Macaca fascicularis: one gene and its partner. The protein of the gene in region 1 purifies or fractionates together with the protein of each later gene. This does not show direct contact. Links are inferred from orthologs where the notes say so. Each region holds a gene or a part of one and is shown on either strand. Other genes may lie near its edges.

Region 1 (4,942 bases):
GACCATTTTTAAAAGCCACAACTTTGTCAATAACATCAACGGTAAGAATCTTCCGTTTTAGGCCGGGCACAGTGGCTCACGCCTATAATCCCAGCACTTTGGGAGGCCGAGGTGGGTGGATCACGAGGTCAGGAGCTGGAGACCACCCTGGCTAACATGATGAAACCCCGTCTCTACTAAAAATACAAAAAAATTAGCCAGATGTGGTGGCAGGTGCCTGTAGTCCCAGCTACTCTGGAGGCTGAGGCAGGAGAATGGCATGAACCCAGGAGGTGGAGCTTGCAGTGAGCTGAGATCACGCCACTGAACTCCAGCCTGGGCAGCAGAGCGAGACTCCGTCTCCAAAAAAAAAAAAAAAAAGAAGAACTTTCAGCTTTGGTTAGATGTAGCCTAGAACAACTGGAGATGGCGGGGGATAGACATCATGATAAAAACTCAGCTTGCTCTTTCTACATGGCCATTCTCAATGCACACCCATCATTCCTAGAAGCTCTGCCAAATACCAAACTTTGTTCTAGATATCTGAAAACTCTAACACTTAACAGTTTCTCTGTAACAAAACCTAATGGTCTAACTTCACATTTTACACAGCCCAAGATTAAATAATACGTTACACCACTCTGAGACCTACTTAAAATTAGATGGTCAGATTATAAAGATACACAACTCCTCACAAACTACACTTGCAGCTTAAATTAACAGGCAAAATATTCTTCTGGTGAGAGCTGCCATTTCAGTGAGAACAGTCTGACCAAGTGCTTAGATTTTTTTCAACATAACTTTAAGAGATTCTGGCAGACAATGTTGCCAATGCTTAATGTTGCATGAATATCTAACCATTTCAAAATGCTGTTGCATAAATATCTAACATTTAATATTTAAATATAACCTGAAGTATTATTATACCATGTAAATTATTCCATGGGAACAAAATGAGGCACTTATACAAGGCACATTAACTTTTTCAAGCCACTAGGCATCATTTAGTAACACCTACCTACACTAAAAAGCATACTTGTTAGCTTCAAAGAGTTAACTTGCCCAACTCCCTAAGTCACATGCTAGTTACCAAGTATATTTAAATGCCAGGCACACATCTATATATTTCCTTTAATGCTTAAAAACTTATAAAGGTAGGATGGGAAGAAGAGGAAGTCCAGACATTAATGAGTACAGTAGTCTTCACATGAAAATAATTGATTAAAAAACATTTTATGGGCCACATAAAACACCTCAATTTTCATTCCAAAATGAATGTAGACAAGTGTTCAACTTGTCTACTGCCTATCACAGAAAATGGAAGGTCAAATGTACATTTTAACACACTGTAAGAATTTTGTAAAACAGATGTAAAATACGCTTCCCTCTTACCTAACATAAATATGTTTGAGAAGCTAGAAGTATAATAAAAACATCTGACAAAAATGTAGTTAAGATAATAAATTATGAACCTTATGAAAGGAACTCTAAGACAAGTAGAGAGCTCTCCTTTCATTGTTCTGTCTTTTGGGGTCCAATTTCAAATATCACTACACACACTTTACTCCTTTTAGATCGATCACATCCTGATTAACCTAACAAAGCGCTAAGCCATGCTCTTAAAAACATTGCTTTAACAGCTACTTTTCCGAAGGAGTACTCCTTGTAGAAAGACATTAAATATGTAGTAAGAGTATAATTATAATAATAAAAAAGCTCCACACTTGAAAAGAAAAACAGCTATACTTAGAGACTAGAACAAAGATACCAAAGGGCTTTGGCCAAAATTAGTATAAATAGACTTTATTGAAGTCAGTGCCTCTGTACTGAGACAGAAGATTGTGTCTACATAAGCACAAGTTGTAACATTTCACAACTTCTAAAAGGAATGTCAACAATTACAACGATCATGCATACCATGGTCGATAATCACATTTTAGAAGCATTTTCAACCATTTCTAAAGAAATGCTTATAACATTGTTATATATAGAACTACTTTCAATAAACTGCAAAACATTGATCGACTTTTCCAGTATGAGCTACAGTGTCAACACAAAAGGGAGGCATAAATGTTTAATTTATGAAATCAGAATGGAATATTTACTGTAAAGAAAAATTAAAAAGCTTTCAAATAAAGGCCATTATCGAACCAACGTGAAGAGCACAACTCGAACTTTTGAGTTCATTCATCTTTTAAAGCTGTCCTCTCAATAACTTCAGTTCTAAGCACTGAATTCAGTACTGTGAATATTCCTTGGATTGAAGTTTGGCAATGATGCGGTCCAACTGTCTTTTTGCTTCACACTGTGGGAAATTGCTCATGTCATAATATTGAGGGGCAATTTTCACCAACCTGTTTAGAAAGGGGGAGAAAAATTTTCAAATTAACATTTAATTGAAATACTGGAGTTGTTAATAGGATAGGCATTATTCATTAATATACTGATGAACCAAGGCAAATCTATGAATTCAAGTCTCATAAAAATACAAATAACTAATCCTTACAAATGGCACTTTTAGAAATGTGTTAAGTATTTTATTTAGTAAGATGTAAATTTTTTGATGTTGAACTTACCATAAACAAACAAACAAAAAAACCCCTCAAGATACATTAATGTAAGGATAACAGATAAAGTCACTGATTTCTTTACTCTGGCACACTATTAACTTGCAGCTCCAAGGATATAGTAACAGGTTCTGTGTAGGAAACATCGTGGTATTCAAATGATTGGATCTTCTCATTTCCAATTTTTTTTTAAATAACTGTAACTCTATACCCCCAAAATACACCTGACTGAAATATTTTATAAAGTTTAGCTATACAATTTTTTTCTCAACAAAGCATTTCAGATAAAATGGTAATGTCCTACACAATTTAAGTGTCAGAAGTCCCAAATCTGTATAAGAAAGCAGTCATACAATATAAAGCGGTGACAGCAACTAGAATACATGCCTTCAGCCCCACTACTTTTGGCTGACATTTCCTATCATAGGTTATAGAACAGATTCTGGCATAAATAAAAAAAACCATGAAGGTGAGGGTTATTTTGCTTAAAATAAAACAATCAGTTCTCACTCTACATTTTGTAAAAGCTAGTATGTTAAAACACAAAGAGTTATCATTTTTATGCCTGCACAATTCCTAAAAACCAATATATAAATAACAAACAGTTGAGAGCTAATTGTAATGGGAGAAATAAAATGTAAAAAAAAAAAATTTCTGCAAGAAACAGTACTGACTTGAGTTAATCACAACAGCAAAAGAATGGCTCCAAAGAAACTCTTTTAAAAAAAAAATTTTTTTAAACCCTTTTTAAAAGTATTTTTGAGAGATAGGGTCTGTCACCCAGGCTGGAGTACAGTGGCATGATCACAGCTCACTGCAACCTCAAACTCCCGGGCTCAAGCAATCCTCCTGCCTCAGCCTCCCCAGTAGCTGGGACTACAGGTGTGCAGCACCACCATGCCCAGCAAATTTTTGTACACACCTATATATATTTTAGTAGAGATGGGGTCTGGCTATATTGCACAGGCTGATCTTGAACCCCTGGTTTCAAGTGATCCTCCCACCCCGGCCTCCTAGAGTCCTGGGATTACAGGTGTGAGCCACCATGCCCAGCCCCTAAAGAAACTTTTCATGCTATTCAAATGTAACTTTACATTTGGCTTCAAATCCTGCCCATAAGTATCAACAATCCCACTTTCCACTTATCAAAAGAAGGGTGTGAAAGATTAACCACACCATCCAGTCAATACCCTCATACCTACACAATGAAATATAAATCCTCAATGAGTGAATGCAAGGCCATGACTCTAGCAACAGTCGGGTTCCATTTTGAGTGAAGTATTAACAAAAAACTATTAGAACAAAAGGTGTACTTACCATTCTGGCTTGATATCTGTACATGTCCGGATGTAATTCTTTGTTGTTAGAACAAACTCATTATAAAGCACCCATTCAGGTTTGTGGTCAAGAACAGTAGAGGGATGCAACTGAACCACCTGGTTATCTTTCACAGTTAAGTAATGCCCTGTTCGTTCTAAATGTGCCACCTAAAACAAAAACCCAGTACATTATTAACACAATGCTTCTGACATACTAGTTGTAAAGCTACCTATATAGTTAGGAAAAGGCAGGCCTCCCTTTTACTTTTCGTTCTATGGCTATACATTTTTATCACTGTCTTATAAAAGCAGAGATAAGCAAACTGCCACCTGTGGGCCAAATCCAACTCACAGCCTCTATTTGTAAGGTCTGTGAATCCAAAATGGTTTATACATCTTTAATTAGAAAGAAAAAATATCATACAAAAAACATCCCGTGAAGCATGAGTAGCATGTAAAATTCAAGCTTCAGTGTTCATAAGGGAAGTTTTATTAGAACGCAGTCATACCCATTTGTCTATACCTATTATGCTCCAAGGGCAGGCAGCGTTAGGTAGTTCTGACAGGGATCTCACGGGTCCACAGAGCCCAACATTATTATCTGATCTTTCCTGCCTTAGACCATCAAGAGCGGGCTCTTCAGCACTGGGCGCCAACTATGAGTAGACAAACAATTACCAGAACATTCATGTCTAAGGTAGAAAACTAAAGCCGGGTGTGGTGGCTCATGCTTGTAATCCCAGCACTTTGGGAGGCCGAGACAGGAGGATCACCTGAGGTCAGGAGTTCTAGCCCAGCCTGGCCAACATGGTGAAACCTCATCTCTACTAAAAATACAAAAATTAGCCAGGCGTGGTGGCGGGTGCCTGTATCCCAGTTACTCAGGAGCTGAGGCAGGAGAATCACCTGAACCCAGGAGGCGGAGGTTGCAGTGAGCTGAGATCACATCACTGCACTCCAGCCCTGGTGACAGAGCGAGAGGTTCCATCTCAAAAAAGAAAATAAATAAATAAAAAATAAGGTAGAAAACTAAAGAGGGCAAAGAGGAAAAGAAAAAGGTAACCTACAAAGACAGGA
Region 2 (5,654 bases), on another chromosome or scaffold:
TCAGGCTGGTCTTGAACTCCCGACCCCAGGTGATCTGCCTGCCTTGGTCTCCCAAAGTGCTGGGATTACAGGCGTGAGTGGCTGTGTCCAGCCAGGAAAATGGTATTTATTTAAAAAAAAAAAAAAAATTTAAAGAAATCTTATGTAAGGCTGGGTGCAATGGCTCACGTCTATAATCCCAACACTTTGTGAGGCCAAGGCAGGCGGATTGCTTGAGCTCAGGAGTTTGAGACCAGCCTTGGCAACAGGGCAAAACTCAATCTCTACACAAAATACAAAAAACTAGCTGGGCATGGTGGCACACGCCTGTAGTCCCAAGTACTTGGTGGGGCTGAGGCGGGATCCATCACTTGAGTCCAGGAGGTCTAGGATACAGCGAGCCAAGATCACGCCACTGCACTCCAGCCTGGGTGACAAAATGAGACCCTGTCTCAAAAAAAAAAAAAAAAAAAAAAAAAAAAAAGATTTATTTTGGCAAAGGTAAAATACGCTTGTTGTATTGATAATGGGCTGGGTACAGTGGCTCATGCCTGTAATCCCAACACCGTGGGAGGCTGAGACAGGAGGATCACTTGAGGTGAAGAGTTTGTGGCCAGCCTGGGCAACACTGCAAGACCCCATCTTTACAAAAAATACAAAAATTAGCCAAGTGTGGTGGTGGTATGCACCTGTATCCTCAACTACTCAGAAGGCTAAGGCGGGAGGATCACTTGAGCCCAGAAGTCGAGGTTGCAGTGAGCAACGATCACACCATGGTAAGACCTCATCTCAAAAATAAAAAAATAAAATTTATTAATAAATAAATATGCTTGTTTTCACTGTAGAAAACTTCATTTTGAATAGTATTTCATTCCAAGAAAGCGTATCACCTCTTTAATATTTACATAACAGTTTTAAAACACAAGGAAGACATTTTACAATGGCTTCATGTCTATGTCTACTAGTTCCAGTCTAGTGTCCTGACTCACTTCGAGAATCAGAACCTCTCTGCCCTTTCCCAGGTCTTACCTCAGATGCCTTCAGGTTAATGTACTTCAGGTAACAGTCATGGAGATCGAGATAACGACCATATCCCTCTTCATCTGTGAACTCCACCAAGTCTGAGGGAATCAGATACATCAATGATTCAGTTTATACACACCACTCTCTTGGACTTACCTTTTCAAATGGACTGCTTGTTCCTAGTTTCCTGAGGCAGCACTTCACCCAAATGTCCTCCCTTTGCTCACAATATAACCTCCAATAAGTTAAGTGAGATCAAAAGTGAGTGTTCTCTTACAAGGTAACAAGGGCTGACTCATTTTAGTATCGTGACCTAAAGTGAACAATCCTTGGCTTTCCAAGCCAGTAAATTTGAGGTAGGAGAGAACAAAATGAACATTGTGCGCCCAAGACCAATTTAGGATGTCACTCTAGCCCAGAAACCAGCAAAGACGAAACCAGCAAGAAATCCTGGCTATAAATATATCTGAGGCCATGGCTGCAAATCTGAGCTGTAATTAACCTGTACTTTTGCTGGTGCCGAATGAAATTTTCACCTCTACTTACTTTGTGCCTCTTCACTCGGATTCTCTCGAGCCTTCAGGAGCTCCTCAAATTCCACTGACATTGGCACACAGATCTGAGGGGAAAAGTAAAAGCTCAGGTGGATTTTTCTTATTTGTTTTTGAGACGGACTCTGCTCTGTTGCCCAGGCTGGAGTGCACTGGCACAATCTTGGCTCACTGCAACCTCTACTTCCCAGGTTCAAGCGATTCTCCTGCTTTGGCCACCCGAGTAGCTGGGACTACAGGCACGCACCACCATGCTTGGCTAATTCTTATATTTTTAGTGGAGACAGGGTTTTGCCATGTTGCCCAGGCTGGTCTTAAACTCCTAAGCTAAAGTGATCTGCCCAGCTTGGCCTCCTAAAGTGCTGGGATTACAGGCATGAACCACTGTGCCCGACCTTAGGTGGATTTTTCAATGTAAAAGTTGCAAGATCACAGAAATGAAATACACAGAAAGTTGGACTTCTGATGATCTGGCCTTGATTTTTCACTAGGAAGCTACTACTGTTCTCCAATTACCTTGTTTTTCCCCGCTTTTTTGTATTGTTTGAGTAAAACTCACTAAAGTAACACATGCTCACAAAACCTCAAAAGTCCACCTTTATTAATTCTCCTGAGAACAGGTAACCACTGTTAACAGAGCTTTTCCTATGCCAGTGGTTCCCAAACTTTGCTGCATATTAGAATCACTCGGGGAGTTTTTTTTTTTTTAATTCTGATGCACCTGATACCAATTAAATCAAAGGAAGGCAGGTATCAGTACATTTTAAAGATCCCCAGGTGGCTCAAATATGCAGAAAGTTTGGAAAACAGTGCTCTATATATTTAAATATATGTATTTGTACTAGTACATTCATGCCTGCATACGTTTTTATTATTTTTTTTTAGCATAAAAGACTTGCTTCTGACACTTAGTATATCTTGGGCATCCTTCTAACCAGTTATTTAAGCATTTATTCCTCGTTACCTTTTGACCATGGCTGGAATAAGGTGAACACATCAGAATGGTATTCATTTATTCTCTCTTGGTTAGCAGAAGACCTCACTCTCCATCCTCCAAGGGGGCTATGTGTGTGAGGATCCCTTCGTTTACCCCCACACTATGTACTGCAATAAACAGCCTCTATTTTTTTGCTGTTTTTAATCTCTTCCTTTTTCCCTGTGCTCCTTCAAATAAGTAAGCTGCTTCTTTTTTTTTTTTTTTTTTTTTTTTTTTGAGACGGAGTCTCGCTCTGTCCCCCAGGCTGGAGTGCAGTGGCTGGATCTCAGCTCACTGCAAGCTCCGCCTCCCGGGTTTACGCCATTCTCGTGCCTCAGCCTCCCGAGTAGCTGGGACTACAGGCACCCGCCACCTCGCCTGGCTAGTTTTTTGTATTTTTTAGTAGAGGCGGGGTTTCACCGGGTTAGGCAGGATGGTCTCGATCTCCTGACCTCATGATCCGCCCGTCTCAGCCTCCCAAAGTGCTGGGATTACAGGCTTGAGCCACTGCGCCTGGCCATAAGTATGCTTCTTTATCTTCCCCAATACCCTCCTGTTTCTCCCCTTCTTTTTCCTACCAGATTTTTTTTTTTTTTTGACGGAGTCTTGCTCTGTTGCCCAGGCTGGAGTGCAGCAGAGTGATCTCAGCTCACTGCAACCTCCATGTCCTGGGTTCAAGCGATTCTCCTGCCTCAGCCCCACAAGAAGCTGGGATCACAGGCGTGCACCACCAAGCCCAGCTAATTTTTGTGTTTTTAGTAGAGACGGGTTTCACCACGTTGGCCAGGCTGGTCTCAAACTCTTGACTTCGTGATCCACCTGCCTCAGCCTCCCAAAGTGCTGGAATTACAGGTGTGAGCCACTGAACCCGGCTGCTACCAGCCTTTCAAATGCATGTTCCATACTCCATACTTATATTTCCCCATTACCCATCTTTACCTTGTGACCAGATTTCCATTCCTACTACTTTAATGAAACAGCAATCCTGGCAGTTATCAATCAATAAGTTGACACCATGACTGCCTTTCTGAAACTCTCTTTTGCTTAACTTCTGTTAAGGCAACACCACCTGGAGTGGTCATGTGACCTTTCTGATGGAAGCCTTCCCAGGCCCTTTTTCTCTTAACTACCTTATTATAAGTGAGCTCCAGGGTATATGAGGGCTAGGCCCGGTGGCTCACGCCTGTAATCCCAGCACTTTGGGAGGCCGAGGTGGGTGGATTATGAGGTCAGCAGATCGAGACTATCCTGGCTAACATGGTGAAACCCTGTGTCTACTAAAAAATACACAAAATTAGCCGGGCGTGGTGGCGGGCACCTGTAGTCCCAGCTACTCAGGAGGCTGAGGCAGGAGAATGGCGTGAACTCGGGAGGTGGAGTTTGCAGAGAGCCGAAATCGTGCCACTGCACTCCAGCCTGGGTGACAGAGTGAGATTCCATCTCAAAAAAAAAAAAAAAAAAGACAGAGTTAGGAGCATAATTTATTGGGGGGAGTAATTTCTGTGAAAGACAAAAAGGAGGAGAAAGCAGGATTAGGCCAGGATAGCCTAGACCACAATGCAGATTGGACAAAATCTTGACCCACCCAATGGGGAGCCGTGGAGCAAAGATAACTCATCAGAGGAGTCTCACAGTGGACCAAATTGCTGGGCCCTAGTACCCATACTGTGCTTAGTCACTGGCCAGGAGCTGCCCACGAAATGTGGCCTTGGCTTTTTTTTGAGATGAAGTCTCACTCTTGTCCCTCAGGATGGTGTGCAATGGCGCAATCTCGGCTCACTGCAACCTCCGCCTCCCGGGTTCAAGTGATTCTCTTGCCTCAGCCTCCCAAGTAGCTGGGATTATAGGCGCATGCCACCATGCCTAGCTAATTTTTGCATTTTTAGTAGAGATGGGGTTTCACTATGTTCGTCAGGCTGGTCTCGAACTCCTGACCTCAGGTGATCCGCCGACCTCAGCCTCCCACAGTGCTGGGATTACAGGTGTGAGCCACCGCACCCGGCCAGCCTTGGCTTCAAAGCTGAGGGAGATGCTGAAAACACTGCAGTTGTAGGATGTCAGCTAACTATGGTCCTTGCACCTAAATGGCAAGTTCTTTCTTGAAGTGCATTTGAATAGCACATGTCCAGTTTCCTTTATACTTTCCTTTATATGCTTTAAAGATAGGTCTGGAGAAAATACTTTTCGGAGGACATACCTCATTTGGGTGCTTCCGGTGGAATTCCTTTATTTGCTTGAGTCTATTATAGAATTCAGCAAACTCATTGGGTCCTGAAATGGCATTGAGCTCCTCCTTTCGTAATCTGCAATTTCAGGAAAATTTCAAAGATAGAGCACAAAGTCAGTCCTCTAACCATGGCTCCTCAGAAGCACTAACTCCTAGATTAGCTGTGACTGTCACTTACCCATCCTTATCATCATACAAATCCCTCAGGTTCCCACTGACCTCCATATACCTCTGAAAGGCAAATACAAAACCATCAGAATGAGGCAATTTGCACAAATGTAGAGCTAAGCAAACAACAAGGGCTCTCCAGTCAAAGCCCAGGGCAATCTCAAGAGATATGGACATGGTCTTAACAGTTCTGTGCTTCCTAGTACCTTTAATAGCCCTGTTTGCTGGTTAGTTTTTCAATAGCCCTTTAACAGCCCTGATTCCTGGTTAGTTTTTTAAGCAGGTCGATTGGAAGATTACCTAAATGATAACATTTAAGGGGTGGCTCCTATTTTTACATACCACCGATGCCTAACTTTCCCTGTAACAGACTCACCCTCTTTGGCTAAACACTAGCTCCCACCTAACATCCTCAAAGATAAAGATGATATTCACTATTTCAAAAAGCTTGACTGAGGAGTAGACAGGCTAAATAAACATTACATAGGCTTCTTTTGTAGTCAAAATATACTAATTCGGGATGGTACAGGTACATAGTCCCCTCCTCCAAAACTTTTGGGCCCAGATTTGTTTCAGAATTTGGAATTTTTAAGTTCAGAAAAGGTATCACATATTATGTAACAGTCCTAGTGGAATCTGGAGCACACAGTTCTGCAGTAAACCTTATACCTTATTTACTAAGTGAGGTAAATTAAAGACCATAAAAAGCCTATCACAGGTTCAGGCCAGT

What was found.
Region 2: the proteins of DHX15 (region 1) and SF3A3 fractionate together in Homo sapiens (co-fractionation; 3 studies listed by BioGRID and IntAct, with this or other methods). This does not show direct contact. The link is inferred for Macaca fascicularis from reciprocal best matches to the Homo sapiens genes DHX15 and SF3A3.

What each region holds. Positions count from the first base shown.
Region 1 is NC_088379.1:23,642,048-23,646,989, forward strand, and holds the end of DHX15 (ATP-dependent RNA helicase DHX15), read right to left. Parts: intron 4,034-4,942; coding exon 3,864-4,033; intron 2,334-3,863; coding exon 2,216-2,333; 3' UTR 1,767-2,215; downstream 1-1,766.
Region 2 is NC_088375.1:196,927,878-196,933,531, reverse strand, and holds part of SF3A3 (splicing factor 3A subunit 3), read right to left. Parts: intron 4,988-5,654; coding exon 4,935-4,987; intron 4,833-4,934; coding exon 4,727-4,832; intron 1,622-4,726; coding exon 1,549-1,621; intron 1,101-1,548; coding exon 1,009-1,100; intron 1-1,008. UniProt on the Homo sapiens protein: Component of the 17S U2 SnRNP complex of the spliceosome, a large ribonucleoprotein complex that removes introns from transcribed pre-mRNAs.